2 linked regions of the Arabidopsis thaliana genome follow. The protein of the gene in region 2 interacts with the protein of the main gene of each other region in a pairwise test. Each region holds a gene or a part of one and is shown on either strand. Other genes may lie near its edges.

The links. Proteins that work in one complex are often made in the same cells at the same time.
Region 1: the proteins of COL4 (region 2) and FES1 interact in a two-hybrid assay, tested with the Arabidopsis thaliana proteins (one large-scale study listed by BioGRID).

The regions. Positions count from the first base shown.
Region 1 is NC_003071.7:14,308,543-14,316,223, forward strand, and holds FES1 (Zinc finger C-x8-C-x5-C-x3-H type family protein), read right to left. Parts: upstream 6,173-7,681; 5' UTR 6,025-6,172; coding exon 5,901-6,024; intron 5,561-5,900; coding exon 5,467-5,560; intron 5,383-5,466; coding exon 5,159-5,382; intron 5,021-5,158; coding exon 3,729-5,020; intron 3,633-3,728; coding exon 3,603-3,632; 3' UTR 3,170-3,602; downstream 1-3,169. Other genes in the region: AT2G33830 (Dormancy/auxin associated family protein), read right to left, coding at 1,226-1,262, 1,349-1,547, 1,654-1,744; AT2G33840 (Tyrosyl-tRNA synthetase, class Ib, bacterial/mitochondrial), read left to right, coding at 6,469-6,569, 6,759-6,912, 6,998-7,281, 7,374-7,470. UniProt on the Arabidopsis thaliana protein: Transcriptional activator involved in the FRIGIDA-mediated vernalization pathway, but not in the autonomous flowering pathway. Acts cooperatively with FRI (FRIGIDA) or FRL1 (FRIGIDA-LIKE 1) to promote FLC (FLOWERING LOCUS C) expression.
Region 2 is NC_003076.8:8,582,842-8,594,603, forward strand, and holds COL4 (zinc finger CONSTANS-like protein), read left to right. Parts: upstream 1-6,615; coding exon 6,616-7,359; intron 7,360-7,763; coding exon 7,764-8,108; downstream 8,109-11,762. Other genes in the region: GDU5 (glutamine dumper 5), read left to right, coding at 1,824-2,219; AT5G24940 (Protein phosphatase 2C family protein), read right to left, coding at 8,566-9,189, 9,287-9,361, 9,439-9,530, 9,605-9,691, 9,775-9,933, 10,025-10,123, 10,284-10,411, 10,681-10,760.

The sequences.
Region 1 (7,681 bases), on a different chromosome or scaffold from region 2:
GTTTCATAAAATTTGTTTACAATTGATTAACGAATGGCATGTGAAATGGTCAATGCTTTTTTGTGGTATATGTGTTAATATTATCATCTCGTTTTAAGGTTTTGAATAGAAGATGGCAGTGAATCCAAAGTGACTTATAAAGGAGCTAATCTCATTGCACAAAGTATAACTAATGACTTTTACGGCTCCATTTGTATGTAGCTCTTGGTTGCAAGGTGTGTAACGTGTGTTTAATGGTGAAAGATCTCTTTCTTCTCTATGAACTTGTGTGTTTTTGTGTAGGTGGAGACACTTCTTTTGTATATTCCCCTTGTATTGAAAATGTGCTTTGAATAGGTTGATCCCGCAGGACTCAGGTTTGGGTTGGTTCTTTTTGTGTAACCTTGTATTCTATCTTCTTCTTTAATCAAATCAGATGACAAAAAATTAAATATATATTACATTTGTATCCAGACATGTATAAACTTTAATTAAATCACTATCATAATGGTTTGTTGACACAAAGAATTCACCTAACCATGGTTATGTTTTTGTTATTTAATGAGATGAGATCAACCATGGTGATTAAAATAGGTTGATCCCTGAGCTTTGGATTGGTTCTTTTTGTGTAACTTTGTATAATTATATCAAATCAGACAAAAAAATATATATAAAAAATTACAACTGTATCCAAAGACATGTATAAACTTTAATTAAATCACTATCATAATGGTTTGTTGACACAAAGAATGCATTTAACCATTGTTATGTTTTTGTTATTTAATGAGATGAGATCAACCATAGTTCAGTTAAAATTTAATCAAATCACTATCATAATTGTTTGTTGACACAACGAATTCATCTAACCATGCATGATTGAGATATTTTAATGATGAACAAATAAAATAAAATAAAAATAATGATATGAGATCAACCATGGTTAAGTTAAATTCCATTTTGCTAATTATAGTTAAGTTAAGTTATATTGTTAGCTAAATCATTAGAGAAGCTAATTGTAATATTACCGAACAGTAAAAATATTACAAGACACTGAAGACGCATCGCCACCGTTAAAAGCTAAAAACTAACCCAGATGGTGGAAATCAACGGTCACTAACAAACACAAACGACATGAAGCAAATAAAAGATTGCACATATAGCCAAAATAGACGAAACAGAACATAAACACGTGGCGTAAAGAACATAATTATTTTACATCATTCTCATGTCACTCTACCCTCTCGGCTCAACGGTGCTTGCTCCTAGTGTCGTCGCTGTATAGCCTGCGGGATCACAACAACGGTCAAACCATCTTAGATCTGATCTACACCGTCCGGTCAGATAATAATAACAGAAACTGAGTACGTACCAATCGTAGACGGTGGGAGAGTTTGGGTGAGAAGGCTTGTCGAAGAGGTTTGTGCCCATTCCTCTAGTGGCGATGTTACTTCCTGGATGAAACACACTTCTCCACACGTTTTCCTTACGCGCCGATCCTGGCGTCGTCGGAGTTCCAGGACTCCCGGCCACCGCCGCCACAGTTTTACTACTGCTCCCTTCTCCTACACCTTCCAAAAACCATCACATGATATAATTATGAGATCATACGTTTCTACAAAGATCTGTATATGCAAGTTTATTACGGAGTTATGGTTGACAAAGAAAAATAAATACCTTTGATGTCAAGGGGTTGGGTGGTGATCTTATTGCGGAGGCGGCCAAGGCCATGCTCCGGTTTAGGTCCGGCTACAGTTTCATCCCACATATTTCTTTCTTTTTTTGGGTTGATTTTGGATAGAATTGTGTCAAGTGTGAAGTACTTACTAAAGGGCTTCCTTCATCTAATTTATAGACTCATTTTTAAACTATTCGTAAAAATATCTCTTTTCCTTTGTCGACTAGTTCTCTCATTTTTTATTTGACCCACAAAATATCTAGAGAAATACTATAATAGACTAGAAATAATTGACAAGTAATTGATAACTTAATTACCAAATGAAGTTTATATACTTGCACATAGAATTTTCGTTAAAATTTGATACGTTTAGCCAAAATGTTATTATTCTCTGTCAATAAACAACATGAATACATAATATAATTGTAAATTGTGTGTTATGTATTAATATGTCATTTTACAACATTTTAATATAACATGCAACTTCCAGGGTTTAGAGCTAAAATACACGCCATCTTTGGAAATTAGGATGTGGATAAGCCTACTTTAAAGGACCTTAATATATAACATTAATGTTATAATATAGATCAAACCATTGATCATGAGAAGCGTGAGCAGTGAGGGAGAAGTGTGGAAATAAAAAAAATGCAAGGTGGGTATAGAGCTGGAGATATGGATAAGGACGACGAGTCATAAAGTGTAGGGACCCTTAAATCAAAAGAATCCCAAGTCTTTCGTGGAAAAGTATTATAGGAACAACAAACATATTTTGATTATTTTGTGAAGTTAATATTATTAAGCAACAGTAACTCTAATCAAATAGTTTTCCACAAACCCACCATAGATAATAAGTTCATGATGTCCTAATGATCATAGTCCAAATGATTCACTAAAATGTTTGAAAAAGATAAAACTAATTCCAAAACTGTACACAAAACGTATGCACTTTATCCTAAACCAAAAACCACTTTCTACTTACAGTAAAACTTCTATAAATTAATAATGTTAGGACCGAAAAATTATATTAATTTATAGAGGTTTTAATTTATCGATTAATTAATTAATTTATAGAGATATTTTTCTAATTTATTAACTTTTAAAAAAAATTTAAGATTTTTTCATTATAGAAAATATTTTTTAAGAATCAATTACAAGTAAAAAGTAATATCATATTTAGAAAACAACACCAAAATTTTTTGATACAATAAAATATTAGAACTCAATATCAAATAAGAATAAATACAAATTTAAGCAAAAAAAAATATTAGAAATATATTTTAAAGAAATTTCTTACATATAATGTATATATAGTTGATACATTTCTGCAATTATTAATTTGTGATATTAATGAGACCATATATTTACATAGGATTTTCAAAAAAATTATTATCTTATTAATTTATCGATTTATGTCATTTTTTCCATTAGTCTCACCTCGGGATTGGAAGAAATTATTAATTTATAGAGGTTATTAATTTACCGAGTATTAATTTACAGAGGTTTTACTTATATTGATGGAGAAATACAAAACTAAAACTAACTTCTAATTTGAAAAATCTTGGTTTCACAAAGCTAAATTACTTATCAAATAGTTAGGAAACGTACCTCAACATTATTCCATTTCTTTCTCTTTTCCTCTGCTTCCAAGGCAACCATTCTTTATCACATTACTTCTAAAGATCACATTCTAAATCATATTCCCAAAGGTAAAAGAAAACTGTTTTAAGCATAAATTAAGCTTTGAAGAGTTTTACAATGTGTACACATTTCCTCCACCAAGCTCCCATTCCAACCTTATTCCATTATCGGTAAAGGATAGGAATGGAGTTCCAAAGAATTTAGGTGCTACGTACTAAATCTATAACTGAGTAAAAGAAGGATGACATAATGTACAGGAATCTCATCAGTTTGAGCTCATGCCACACCAAGTGACATTTGGTTTGATAACTCAGGGTTTACCATACTTTTCGACATACCCCTGCAAATGAACATAAGAATTGTTAGCTTATGCAATACTTACTACTTAGGTTTTTACCTGCTTTAAGTGTCTTTTATTTCCAGCTAAGAAACTCACCTCGACAAGTTTCACAATTCTGGTTCCAGACAAACCAAGATATTGATCAACTGATTCTGTGTCAGTTGGCACCTGATGAAACTGGACAGCGGCGCCGACTACCTTTTCTGCAGCTTTTTTAACTATCATGTTATGCACGTCTTTAGTTAGACGACCCTCACGCCACAACGGTTTCAACATTTCTTTAATGGTTTCCACAACTGCAGTCCGGAATAGTCTCATTACTTTCATTCCTGCATCTGACCTCACTTCACCATCTATCTCATCTGATTTCTTTGTCTTTTTATATGAAGACCCATCACTTCTATGCCAAGAATCATGCCCTGCAGGTTTGATTCTTTTCAAAACAACTCTATTCTCTGCAGCCGTAGCCGAAGAAATCTCTTTGCTAGGCGTTGCTGTATCATTTTGATCAACCACTGACGTAGCCACCCCTTCCACTACTCCATGTGCTTCCAAACTCCTTGCCACGGTTTCTTGGTGTTGATTTTGACTGCATGAACTGCTTTTATCATCATTCTTGCAATCCCGTGCTTGGGGACCACTAGCAGAATCACCATCTTTCTGCTGGCAGGAACTTTTCCGTGCATGTTCTCCTTTACTTGACAATGAATCATTAAGAGGTCTGTCTCCTAGATTCTCTATATCCGTGAAAGGATCGTAGAGGGCATCAGACGAGGGAAGAATATAAGGTGGAATTGTAAAAGATGCTTTAAAAGGTTCAGAAGGTTCCCAGTCATCTGAAGAAACTTTCTTTTTAGTGCTAGTAGTGTTGGCTTCTGCGCCTTTATCAGAAGAAACAGCTACCCCTTGCAGCGTTGGAAGTGATCCGGATCCAGATAAACTATTCCCATTTTCAAAATCCCCCACCGTAGAAGCACGATCATTCATAGGAACAGAACTGGATAATGATCCTGTCCAGGCTGGTCCAGCAGATCCCATGTCTGTTTTTAAATAGGAACTGATAGAAGGTCTATGCTCATGAACAAAGCTGCTTCTCAATGCGAAGGAATTGGCGTTATTAATAACTAGAGACCTGTTGTCAGTGAAATCAGCACCATACGTTTGCTTCAAACTCTCTCTTCTAATGTTTTCAAATGAAGGCATAAAGCGCATCTCGTTATTGAACGGGAAAACTCTCTGAGAACCTGGGGGATTCACAAAAGACATGGAGGAGAAAACTCTCTGAGGATTCATGAAAGATATATCCTCTCTGGTAGGCAACGATGTCACACCGTTTTCGCTTAACTGGGAAACTCTTACACCTTCTCTGCTGTCCAAAATTCTTCTTTCTGAATAGACATAAGCAAAATAAATTATTGGTTGATTCAGAAAGAGTAATTAAACCCCATAGATATTCACCGGCCTCTATATTGTTGGAACTACCTCCACATAGAATCACAAGAATAAGTATTCATGGTACAACGTACCTAGATCAGACCGGATACCACCGTTTCCAGCCATACTATTTTCCGCCAGTTGTTGACTAGTGCAATTTGAATTCTCTTTCACATGTAGAAACTTGCAGGACACCCCATTGAAACACCACCCTTTAGCAAAAAATTTGCAGGGAAGAGCTGCACGTTTTTGTTCTGGTTCATTCCCACCACCGCCAGTGAAAAAGCTTCTTGGCGGTATACCCGGAGCAGGAAATCTGATAACCGAATTTGTCAGTATAAAAGCTTCAACCTCTTAACTTAGTTTCAGCAAAACTTAAGCAGAAACTTTTTTGCCATACCTTGGTAAAGTACCATTATCTTGAGCAAAAGCTTGCTCCTTTATGATTTTTGATTGCTCATCTAAAGGTGTTGTTACAGAATGCCTCTTCACATCTACATGAGACAAGTTTAATCAGTACATATTAGCAAAACTGCTGTTTTGAATAAACAAAAGAGATTCCTTACAGAAACAAGCACAAAACTCTGAGAATTGAATTTGCTTACTTGGTATTAAAGCCACAATTTTTACAAAAGAGCTTCAGTGAAAATCTAATTGCCAAGTCTTTGAACCTCTAATCAGAGCTAAATCTAGTCAATTTAACAATTCTCTCTTTCTTCTAGAACAAAATTCATCAATTCCAAATTGGAAAAGGTGTTTCCATCAATAAAAACACGAACTTGACAGAATTAATCAACAATACCATGTAACCAATCACGAATTTCAAATACTAACCGTTGTGGGAATTGGAAGCTTGAATTGGTGGTTTATCAAACAATTCAGATTCTCTTACAATTGTATGTACTTGCACCTTTTGTTCGACCTCATCATCATCAATGTCCATGTCGGAATCAGACATCTTGAAGTCTTCGGCGAGGTAACCAACGCAGAGAGTGGTAAATTGATAAAAAAAAATACTGCGGCGTGATCGGGGTCCGAAGCTCGCTGTTGAGTCCTGATGATCTCCGAGAATACGTTTGGTATATCGAAACCACCATTGTTACAAAGACCACCGAACTATTTTATATCTAATGGGCCTTTCCTAAATAATTAAAGCTTTAGTATTAAGGCCCATACTAAATTCCAAATTTTACCAACTATTTCCTAAATTAACACATCGTTGCCTTTTTATAGTAACCGGATTAAACCAAAACAAAATTAAAGAGAATCGAATCAAACCGTGAAAATCGTGAAGCGTAGTGGTGCTATATTGCACGTTAACTGTCTCCATCACTGCCACTGGTAAACCCTAAGAATCCTCCGCAATTTCGCAATTTTGTGAAGGAGCCGCCGGCTAAATTTGATGGCAGACCAAAGTTCGGAGATCGTCAATGCTCTGTCGTCGGAGATGGAAGCTGTTTCCGTTTCATCAACTCAGGCATCTTCTTCGTCCGATGGATTCCAGTGAGTTTTCTTACCAATCATCAATTTTTTTCATTTTCGCGCTTCAATTTTGATTTGGATTATATTATTTGATTAGAGTGGAAGAGATGAAAAAGCTATAGCAATTTAGAAGTATGGAATTTAAAATTGAAAAGATCTTGTTATCTGCTTATTGGTCTGGTAGATATTGAAATTTTACTAATTCTTCAGGATGAGTGAAGAAGTTGAGAAGAGATACAAAATTGTTAGGAGTATCGGTGAGGAATGTATACAAGAGGAAGAGCTAAAGAATCTTCTTGCTAAGAAGGCTGCTCCGATTTGCTACGACGGCTTTGAACCATCAGGAAGAATGCACATTGCTCAGGTCTGTTAGTTTTCCTTTGTTCCATTACCATATGTGGGAAGGAAGCGTTGGCTAATCTATTTTGGTTCTGTTGTTTTCTTAATAGGGAGTGATGAAAGTCATCAATGTGAACAAAATGACTTCAGCTGGTTGCAGAGTGAAGATTTGGATTGCTGATTGGTTTGCTCAGTTGAACAACAAAATGGGTGGTGACTTGAAGAAAATCAGAGTGGTTGGAGAATACTTTCAAGAGATATGGAAGGCTGCTGGGATGGATAATGACAAAGTAGAGTTTTTGTGGTCGTCCGAAGAAATTAATTCTAAGGCAGATAAGTATTGGCCTCTTGTGATGGACATTGCTCGCAAAAACAAGCTCCCTAGAATCTTAAGGTTACTTTTCTAAATCTTCTCCATTCTTGGGACGTTGTAATTATGTGAGGGAAATGATGGGACCTGAATGACTCTGGTTCTTGTCCTTGAAGGTGTGTGCAGATTATGGGACGTAGTGAGACTGATGAACTGAGTGCTGCCCAGATCCTTTACCCATGCATGCAATGTGCAGATATTTTTTTCCTTGAGGTACTGTTAAGCCTTTGCTTGCTTATGAACTGTCTTTGATTCTGCTGCTAGTTACTCGGAATAAAAAATTTAGCTTAAGCGTTACATCAGCAGAAAGTCTATTATATTGTTGATAAAACACCTGATAAAAGCTCCAGGCTAGAAATAAGCTGTATATGATTGCAGATTTTATCAATGTAATGTTACATTTTGTGTATCTGGCTGATGAGTT
Region 2 (11,762 bases):
ATATAATCAGAATTCTTTCGATAATTTATGAAGTAAACTCTCAAATTTCGGATATTACAACACATATGAATAAAAACATTACTCATAACTCATAAGTGAGTAAGAAAAATAACATAATCCAAGAATAAGAGCTAATCCATCTTATGGTTCACTAGACATAGTTTATTCATTTAGAGATTGTAGATATATGGTTTATATTAATGTTCAAATATTAATCTAACAATTTTGGCAATCGACATGATTAAAAAATGAAATATATTCTCTTCCAACTATGGATACAAATAAAATCTATGGATTGTTGTTGTGGAATATTAAAAAGTAAACCCATATATAATTTACTGTTAACGGCAAACATCATTATCCAAATAGCACCATCGAAAAGACACATATCCCTGGCTTAGCGTAATAACAAATGGCCATGTGAAATTCATGGGCCCGAATAAAACACAAAGCTGGGCCCTCTTAATATTCCTAAATCCAAATAATCATATAATTATGTTTTCTGTTTGTCTCTCCCAAATATGATGTCGATAAAATTATAAGGGTTCGAATAGTTGCGCCAGTTAGGACGAACCAATTCATTTCCAATTCATTTCCGGTTTATACTACTTTTCTTTAGTATTTATGAACTATAATTTGTTGTCGTGTAAAAAATAGAACAAGTATGCGGCAAACTAACTATAGATTGTTTTTACGTAGAAAAAAAGCTTGATTTACATCAGTTTATTGTCCGTTCCAAAAATAGAAAACATTTCTCTGCTTTTTTTTATTGCAATCATTCAAAACCTAAATTTATAATCATTTATAACACCAAGAACATATATAAATCATCTTCACTCATAAAACATAAACAAACTACTCTACTTACAATATGCATAACCTCCACTAAATATATATGCATCCACAATTTACAAAATCATCATGTGGAAATTATCTCATACTTTAGTGTAATGGTTTTAACTGTTATATCACTTATAAGAAATCAGCTTAAAATTACTCGTATATGGGGCTTGTAGACTACCTTAAACTCCAAAAAACTAGATTTTGAAGCTCTAAATTGATCAATTAAGATGTATAGTTGGCCACTCTTTCAGCTGATCGATCATGTATATATGAAACAAATCTACAACGAATAAGTAAAACAATATTGCTTGTTTTTCAAGACGCAATGGAATTCAAGAGATCAGTCAATTCTACTAATAAATAATTTTCTAAATAAACATGATAATTTATCTATTTTTGTAGTTGTCTTTTGTCAACAAATGTCATCTTCATAAATGATTTCTTTATCCAAAAAATCACAAATTCATTGCCATAAATAACATGGTAAGATCACATATTAAGTTGAACAAAAAAGGGATCACATTTTCAAATATCTACCTCATATTTTTTTTTGTTATAATTTCTGACACGAGGAGATTATGGAACTGTCTTTAACAAATAAAAAAAGGGATTACGGAATTGAGATCTTAAAGTTTGATTATCCAAAAAGGATTTTATAAACAAAAAAATCAAGGTATATATCTAAATGCAAAAACGTATGATTAAATATCTTCGAACCTGGTGCATGATCAAAGCAACGTAACGTATCATGAAGATTCCGTGACCCACTTACCTTCAATTTTGTTTTATAATAATATTGTGAAATATTTATTACATCTCTTCCCTCTATTGTTCTCTTCCAGTACTATAAATAAAATGTCAAACCACTCCAACAAAATCAAACTAGCTACACAGTTATAAAAAAAAAGTATAAGCTTCACAATTTTCAAGCTTCTTCTCCTCTGTTCTTTAACAAATCCAAGAATAAGAAATATAAAACAATGAGGCAATTTCCAAGCATAAGAGGAAACATAAATGAGAAGATGATGACAACAATGGTGGAGTCTCAGACACGGTCTCCGTGGCGTACACCGGTTCCTTACCTATTCGGTGGTTTAGCCGCCATGCTTGGACTCATAGCCTTTGCTCTCTTGTTGCTCGCCTGCTCCTACTGGAGGCTCTCGCGGCAGACAGAAGATGAAGAGAAACAGACGGAGTCCGGTGAGAAAGTGGTGGCTAAGGCTTTTGAGGAGAAGATTCTTGTGATCATGGCTGGACAAAACAACCCTACCTTCTTAGCCACTCCGGTCGCGGCCAAGATTTGCCTGGATTGTGTTAATATGGAGAAGAAAGAAGGACAAAATGGGGAATCTAAAGTAACAGAAGAAAACCACTGACTACTGAGCTCTGTTCTCAAGAGTGTACTTTTTTGGATTCTCTGTTTTTGTCGGTTTGTTTTTTGTTTGTTGGGGAAGTAGTTTTCCTCTGTTTTTGTCGACCTTGAGATTGTAAATTTTCATTAGAGTAGTAAATGTGAACAAAAAAGTTGAGAAATTTCGGGTTTCTATGTATAAATGTTGGTATATGAATATATTTTGCTAAATTAAAGGTATCAATGTGTCATTGTTTTGATCATTAATATTTCCAAATTAGTTTTGAGAGTATATCTATATCCTGCTATAGCTTAAAGATTTACTTGTAAAACTAAGAAGTTTAGCTACATTTTCATGGCCGAGTGGTTAGCACTCTAAGTTAGAGGAGCATATATTTGGCCAAGACCAGGGGAGTGATTTCCGTTCTGAACGTGTGAGCCATCACTGTGTCTACGTGACTACTGAAGACATCTTTACTGGTCAAAACACTTGATTTTTATTGGGTCCAAAATAAATCAAAATGACCCAAGTTAGCAAACAAAAAAAACAAAAAAAAATATTGTGTGATGGGAAATATGTAAACAAATGGAAGTTGATTTTTAGTTTATTTTGTAAAAGTTACATAATTTTAGTCATTTTTTATAAAATTAGAATGTTATTTTATCGGAGAGCTTTTTTTCCGAAAAGTTTTCTCTCTATACCAGCTCTTTTTCTCCTGGTCATTTTTTTCGACAAAATTGTGGCTCCGACTAACGTTCGTGGACTTCCAAAGCCACGACGTTGGTTCGGCTTAAGTTTTTAGGTTTGTTTTTTTCTTTATTTGGCTGGGATCTTTTGGTTTTTCTGCAGAGTATCTGTTCTCATAATCAGAGTTCTTTGGTCTATATATGCATCGGTCCTATGCCAACTGTCTAAGTTGTGGTTGGTGAAGCGGTATGGACGACCATCTCTTAAGCTTCTCCACTCGATGCTCCCTTTAAATCTGGGCGAAATCTGTTTTGGTTTGGGATTCCTTTCACCGGTAAAGTCGATGGTTTCGACATCACTTACCAGGATTTTTCTAACAGTCTTTTGTACAAGTTCGAAACTTAACGGTTAGGATCTAATGGAATTTCATGATTGTACTTTTGAAGTCTACTAATAAGCAAGTGAGACATGAAGATTGAGAGGTTATGCTTAGATTTTCATATTTTCCAATTTCAAAATTTCTAGCTAATTAGATAGTTGATATTTTTGCAGTTAGATCATTAGTTTCTCTGTTTGGTTTAATTATGTTTTTCATTTGTTTCAAGTTTTTATGTTTCTTCTGGATGGGGCTGTTGGCTCCGGAAGTCCGTTATACTAGCCGGTTTTGTATACCTCCTTAATTCGATAAATAAACATCAGTGACCAAAAATAAATAAATGTTATTTTACCTTACGACATTTTACTTTACATGATACCTACCACACATGTAATCTGAACGAAAAAACCTATACGCTAACATAGCCATACATAAGCGTTTTTACTATCATGTCATTTTTTGCAAAATTAATCATAATTTTAACTCAGGTCCTGAATGTTTTATAGTTTTTAATTGGTTTTTAGTTTTCGGTTTTTGAATTTTGGTTTTTGATTTTTGAAGTTTTTGATTTTTGTTGTGGATTTTAGTTTTTGCAAAATCAAGAATGGAAATTTTTTTATATTTTTTTTAACTCGAATGGAAATTTATATAATTTTTAATTTTTTTACTTAATCTTAATGTTTAAACATTTTTAAATTGTGTATTTTATCTTTGGATGAATTGATAAATGGTAAAAATAGCATAATTAAATAATAATAGTAAATTAAAAAAAAAGGGTTACGTAAATTGTTTTAAAAACCCACAAAACTTAGTTTTTAGATTCTATGAAGAAATAGCTAAAAACTCCTAAAATCTAGTTTTCCTATTTTTTAAAAAATCTACTTTTTGTAGAAGAATGAATGAGTAATTATTTAGTTTTTGCAAAATCAAAATAAAAAAACTACTTCAAAAATTGGAACCATTCAAGGCCTCAATCATTTGTCCATTTTTAATCTAAACGAAAAAACCCACTCCTTTCATTTGTTTCTTTAAATTTCTGCAATGTTTAATTTTTATTAAAACTTATGTTCGTTTCTTTCAAGTCATCTAGTTTAAGAATAGTACAAGAGCACAGTACGAGTGTACGACACGATCAATTTATGTTTTTTCACTTTATAGTTTTGCTCGTAACTCATATTTATTGATGATGACTCGACTCCCATGGTTTTTGCCGCCGGCATGCTTTTATGGGTTGGGAAAAAATAAGTAATTTGAGAAAGATGATGTCATAATATGGACATGTGTCCGTTCACAGATTGGCTTCAAAGAGTTTCAATATGTTTGACTTTGGAACAGTTGTATGAATTTGCTCTATTTGCTGCAACTACCTGACGCGGCGATGCGACTCTGCCTACATCATAACTCATAATTAATGCAACGCTCATTTGAATCAAACTTTCACAAATCAATACGGTTACACATTTTTCATGATGTATGATTCTGACACTTTCAATATTGTTTTTTTTTCTTTTTCTAATTAAGAGTTTTGATAATCACTCCTAATTTTTATTTTCATTTTAATTATTTAAGTTTCAATTATTATCATGCTTATATATTTCTATTTTTTTTTAATTTAATAATGTCAAATCAAATTTACTTTTGAAGTTTTAAATTTTATTAGTTGGTCAGACACAACACAACATAAAATTTATTTTGAGAAAACCAAGAGTACAAGATGTAATGTTTAAAATCGTGGTAGAAGTTTGATTTATGGAGAAAAGAAAAAGAGTTTTCATAAGAAAGTGAAATTTTTCATTTTATTTCATTATCAAAGCCTAAAATAAATGACGATTCTCTTCACTTTCTCATAAATACTCTTTTTTTCTTTTTTCTTTTTGCAGAAATCAGTCCACCGCGATTTTCAAAATCTTCATCTTGTACTCTCAATTCTTTTATTGCCTGTTGTGTTCTGTCTAGTTCTGATTTATGCTTAACTAATAAAATTTCCAAAAAAATTGATTTGACACAATTAAATCAGAATAATAGAGAAATGAGAAGCATGATAAATGAATCTTAGATAATTCAAAATAAATAAAAAAAAAATAAATAAATAATCTAAAATACTAAAATTACAACAAATTATTAGTAAAAAAAGAAGCATATATTGGTTTTACATATATATATATTTTATACATGTCAAAATCTGATCAATAGATATAATATGCGAGTTACTAATTTTGAAATAAGTCTTTATTTATATTGTAATAAGGATAGTAAAAATTTATAAGGTCTTATCCTGGAGTTATGTGTGGAATAGTTACGGTGCAGTTAACCATGAAATTTTGAAGAGGTATTTTTGATGACTATCTAGAGGGCGTTGATTTCTTTGTTGATAAAAAAAGAAATAAGTTTATGTGAAACCAGTGAGTTTGTGTTGTGACTTTTAGCAAATTGAGAAATAAAGTTATTGGGCTGAAATAAGCATTTTAGTGAACAACAAAACACATACATGCAGAATATATCAGTAATAACTAGAAACCAATGGTCCACATAAGGCCCATATTCAGCCCACTAGTGACCGACCTACCCACCGGCCATTTACTTTATCCTCGCTAGTCACAGTATCGTTTCCATTTAAGTTTGCTCCTCATGGTGGTGGTCCTAAAACTCATCTACCCATACTTCTTCACCACTTTTTTCATTTTATTTTGCAATAGAACCACTCTCTGTGTCAGCTTATGGATTTGAATGGTTACGACGGTTGGGGCGAACAAAACCGTCAATGGATCAGATCGTTTTTTGTTTTATCATTCATCAAAAATAGTCCGCAGTGGTCCGGACCAAAAAAAATAGAAGAAAACCGCTGCGGACCATCTGCAGACCGTTTTTACATACAAATAAACTTGGTTTACAGCGATTTATAGTCCGCCCCAAAAATGAGATGGAGTAAACCGCAGACAAATTAGACCGCTTTGTCCGCTGCCTCCATTCATAACCTATAAATCATATAAAAAAGTTCGTAGACAAATTTGCTACGCATCATTTGCTAAAATAAAACACCTGTTGCCAAATGTCGACGATCCAGAATTATGATTACAAGTATCATCATCATACGATTACAATTATATAAAGAAATAAAGAACACACAGAACTATAATGCCAAGTAATTTCATCAGAAATAAAATTACGTTGTTTGGCTAAGATTTTACCACGTGTCAACTTTTCATTCGATCTAGATGGATACCCATGGACCCCACATGGATAGACTCATTGACACGCTCATGTGAAGCCAATAGTAACACCAACCACAAAAGAAAGAGAGAGAGAGAGACACTGAAACATAGAGAGAAGAAAAAGAAGAGGTTTAGAGAGAGAAAAATGGCGTCAAAGCTCTGCGATTCGTGCAAATCAGCGACGGCGGCGTTATACTGCCGACCAGACGCAGCGTTTCTATGCTTAAGCTGCGATTCAAAAGTCCACGCGGCGAACAAACTCGCGTCACGACACGCGCGCGTGTGGATGTGTGAAGTGTGCGAGCAAGCACCGGCACACGTCACGTGCAAAGCAGACGCGGCCGCGTTATGCGTCACGTGCGACCGTGATATCCACTCGGCTAATCCGTTAGCTCGCCGTCACGAACGCGTTCCCGTTACTCCGTTTTACGATTCCGTCTCTAGTGACGGTTCCGTTAAACACACCGCCGTTAATTTCCTTGACGACTGTTACTTCTCCGATATAGATGGTAACGGAAGCCGTGAAGAAGAGGAGGAAGAAGCTGCTTCGTGGCTGTTACTTCCCAATCCAAAGACTACAACGACGGCGACGGCGGGGATCGTTGCTGTTACTTCAGCTGAGGAAGTTCCGGGAGATAGTCCGGAGATGAACACTGGTCAACAGTATTTGTTCTCGGATCCGGATCCGTATCTGGATCTGGATTATGGAAATGTTGATCCGAAGGTGGAATCGTTAGAGCAGAATAGCTCCGGTACTGATGGTGTTGTTCCGGTGGAGAATCGGACGGTTAGGATTCCGACGGTGAACGAGAATTGCTTTGAAATGGATTTTACCGGAGGATCTAAAGGCTTTACTTATGGTGGTGGTTACAATTGCATCAGTCACAGCGTAAGCTTAATGTTCTTTAATCACAGTGATTAATTTAATTGATTATGTTTGATTAACAATTATTTATCAATTTTTAACGAAAAAGTTTAGATCTTTAGGGTTTAGACTTTTGATGATACTTAAAATTATTAATTTATTGGGAAGTAATGATTGGCTGACTAAAATTTAGGGTTATGCGAGCAACATGTGTAAATTAATCTGTAATTAGAAGAAATATTATGATAATCCTTAATTTAAGTATCTAATTATGTATTAATCAAAGAATTTTGGTGTCTTCTTTTTCATTTGTTTTGTTTAATCTAGTGTAGATCTAATCATATTCACTTATAAGTTATAACCTATAGTATTTGTCAGTTTGATTGTACTTATTATAATGGCTTGATCCAATGGTTGGTGTAATTTAGGTGTCATCATCGTCGATGGAAGTGGGAGTGGTGCCAGATGGTGGTTCGGTGGCTGATGTATCGTATCCTTACGGTGGTCCTGCAACCAGTGGAGCTGATCCGGGGACACAGCGGGCTGTTCCGCTGACTTCAGCTGAGAGAGAAGCGAGGGTAATGAGGTACAGAGAGAAGAGGAAGAACAGGAAGTTTGAGAAGACTATAAGGTATGCTTCAAGGAAAGCGTATGCGGAAATGAGACCGAGAATCAAGGGACGGTTTGCGAAGCGGACGGATACAAATGAGAGCAATGATGTGGTTGGTCATGGTGGTATCTTTAGTGGGTTCGGACTTGTACCTACATTTTAGATATTGAGAGAGGGAGAGACTCTAAAATGGAAGATGGTGGGTGGTTTGGTGTTTGTTTTAGTAATAAGGTTTTTAACGAACGTTTAATTTAAACGAGTTTGTTTGTTTTTTGTTGATGAGTATTTTTAGTTGTTGTGGGCGATGAAGAGGAAGAGAAGTGAGTGGGTGGTGTTTAACTGTTTATAAGTAACTTGTTTTGTATATATCGTGATTTTGAATATGTTCTTGTTTATGTTATGTACTCAAACTATTTAGAATCAACAAGTTTACAAAATTTGGTACACTGCAAAAAGAAATTACATTGTTGAAGTTAAAGACCTCAGAAAAAAGGGTGACAAAGAGAAGAAACTTACATGAACGAGATAAATCAGTTTCGAGGCAAAATCTTTGGACACTAAATAGTTCAAAGTTAAATGAAGATGATACATTCATTTATCAAAAGAAGGTAGTGGACGTTTTAGTTAAAGATAGAGGGAGTTGTCTTTCTTGCGGCGGAATCACTATGAACTTTGATTGGTTTTCGATTCCTTTCACCCGTTGATCCGCTCTGTTCTGTTGCGGCCGGCTTCTTCGCAGTGCTACTGTCCAAGTCGTTGTGTACTGTGCTTTGCGTTTGATTAGGTACCTTGGCTGAACTCTTAGGCTCTGAGTCGCTGCGAATTTTGATTGGCATTTGACTCTTTTCCCCGGTTAAACCACTCTGTTCTGAAGAAACGCTGTGTCCTGTTGCTGTAGTCGCGATTGGTTTTTGGTTCGAGTTATCGGCACTTCTAGCTGCAATCGGCTTTTGGTTCAGGCTTTGACTGTCAGTGTTGCGGTCCAAGTCCTTGTTTACTGTGGTATGGTCTTGATTGGTTTCTTTGGCTGAGATCTTGTGGTCTGAGTCATTTCTAACAGCGGTTGGCACTTGATTTGCTTCCTCGGATGAGCTGGAACCGTTGTTGTTAGCTGACTTGCTCTCCAAGAAACGTACAACTACACATGTAATATTGTCTGCACTTCCTCTTTTAATTGCTTCTCCCACAAGTTTCTTGGTGGACTCTTCCGGATCTTCAACTTCTTTTACTACTGCAACTGCTTCCTGAAAGACCATCAGAGAGATCTCAATCATTGAGTTTGATGTGATACTTATCGGAACATGAAAGTAGTTTTTCGAAGAAGAACTTAATTTTACAAACCTCATTGGAGAAAACATCCCATAGTCCATCGCTGGCAAGAATCAGAAACTCAAGAGAATCATCAATCTTCTCTTCCTGAAGTTGAAGACATGACCTTAAGTGAACACAAGTAGATGTTGTGTGTGGTTTACAAAGCAAATGAAGATACAAACCTGAATTTCTGGATCAGCAACAACATATTGTTTAAGCAATCGATCACCAAACGCGCGGGAAACTGCAAGAACTCCTCCAACTCTCCAAGTCCCTGTTCAATCTAGGAGTTAGGCACACCGGAAAATAAGCCACAAAGCGGGAAATAACTCTACGGTTTCTTGTTACCTGCCCACATCACAAAACCACCAGCATTCTCAATCCGTTCACGCTCATCACTTTGGTCAGGTTTATGGTCTCTTGAAACAGCAAATGCTACAAGAGCACATGAATTCATTTCAGAAGATTTCAATAGATACCAAGAGTCATGACTTAATCAAAAATGTCAATAAAAGTACCATTTCCGCCACGACATATAACAGCTCTGGAATCACCAACATTAGCAACAAGTAAACGATCACCAACGAGAATAGCTGTGGAAGCAGTTGAACCAGCATCTCTAGTATGACTATTTTCTGACTTGAGAAGTTCAGAGTCTGTATGAGTATAGGCATCAGCTGAACCAAAAACACAAAGCAAATATATATGATCCCAAGATTTAGAGCAACAATAATAGTAAGTCCAAACGAAAAGAAATTGAAAGTAAACCTATTGCAGATTTGGTGTCAGAGATGAACTTAGGATGAGTAATAAGATTGCTGAAAAGGTGACGCTTCACATACTCAGCTGCTCTGGATCCACCATGACCTGCAAAAAACAATTAAAAAAACAAACATGAATACTTTTTGCTCTTTCTTATAAGCAACCCTAATCAATATCCAATTTGAGATCATATATATAAAACCTTCATAAAAATGTCATTGAGACATAATGTATAAATTCTTGTTAAGAAAGGGACCAAGAATACCATCAAAGACTCCAAATAGACCAACGATTTCTCCATCGATACCGTCGATCCTTGTCTCAAAAAAGTCTTCCATAGATGACCTTTTTCCAGCTGAGCTTGCATATCCATAGCTAAATTTTCCATTCTGACTGCAGTTCAAAAGTTCATAAACATTGTGATGAGTTCATGTTAAGGAAAACGAAAGTTCGAATCAATATAATCTTTGAGACGAAACAAACATGTAGCTAGCAAAAAAACAGATCACAATGGAACAAGTTCTACATGGCTTTTCATTCAAGTAACCTAAACTAGATCAAACACAGAGATCATTGATCAATCCTAAGCCCTAAATTTCGAATGTAACAAATCAATAATGTAGATATATAGATAATTTCAATCAAATAGAGAGGTAAGTGACCTGAGACCACCTCCGCTTGCGGGAGCTTCAACAATCCGCATTTGATTCGAATAAGATAACGCCAAGTCCATATATCCCATTTTTGCAGAAATTTCAAATACTACTCTTCAGAAACATACAGAGACCGCGACGGGATTAAGGAGAAAAGTCAAAGGAAACCTGAGGAAAATGATTGGAGAGAAGAATAAGGGGAAGAAGATTGAGAGATTTTCTCATTGATGGTGGAAGAGAAATACCGTAAGAAACAGAAAGCAGTGAGCGGTGTTACGTGTTCCGGAAGCAATGGTGTTTAGCAGTTTCCGGGGTTTAAATATTATTTGCTAATTATAGAAAGGTTTAGTGGACTTTTAGAAGTCAAAAGCTTGGACCAATGATACATCTCAAAATTGACACGTCATGCGATTGATTAAGCATCTATTGGCTCTTGTTTAGCTATTTTGATTTTCTTTGTTTATGGTTTATATGCGAGGGGATTTGTATATTTTTATTTTGGATTCTTTTCGACAAACTCGAAAGTTATAGGTTATTCTTTATTCCATAATCAAAAGCTCATCAACCATATAACGCAAGTCTTCTTTATACAAGAAGACAGAAACGAAAACACTCATCAACACCAGTTTTGCCGAAGCATATGTGATCTATTGGCGAGGAAGCTTTGGTGAAGGGTGAAACTCCCTGACCCAGATTTGATCCTCAGAAATGTATGCGGTCTGACTACCTCCTGCCATTAATAAAATAATATTTTAAATTCGAAACAGACAGTGTGGTGGTCTTTCGGAGAAAAGTCCACTCTGAAGCATAGCAGTGCATTTCTACCGGGATTGACTAGGGTTTATCAAAAAGAAAAAAAAAAAAAGATAAAACTCCTAAAAGTTAAAACACTTAACCCAAACACTTATAACAGTAAAAGTTAAAACACTTAACCCAAACACTTATTGAAACAGTAAGAGAAAGCCCAATTGAAGATCTAGCCAGCTGCATCATGGTAACATGGGAACTAGATTAAGCAATAGATGGATATCAATACTATTGTATATCGGGCTAAAATCAGTGTTGGTTTATATGCGGTACCTAGATGCTTT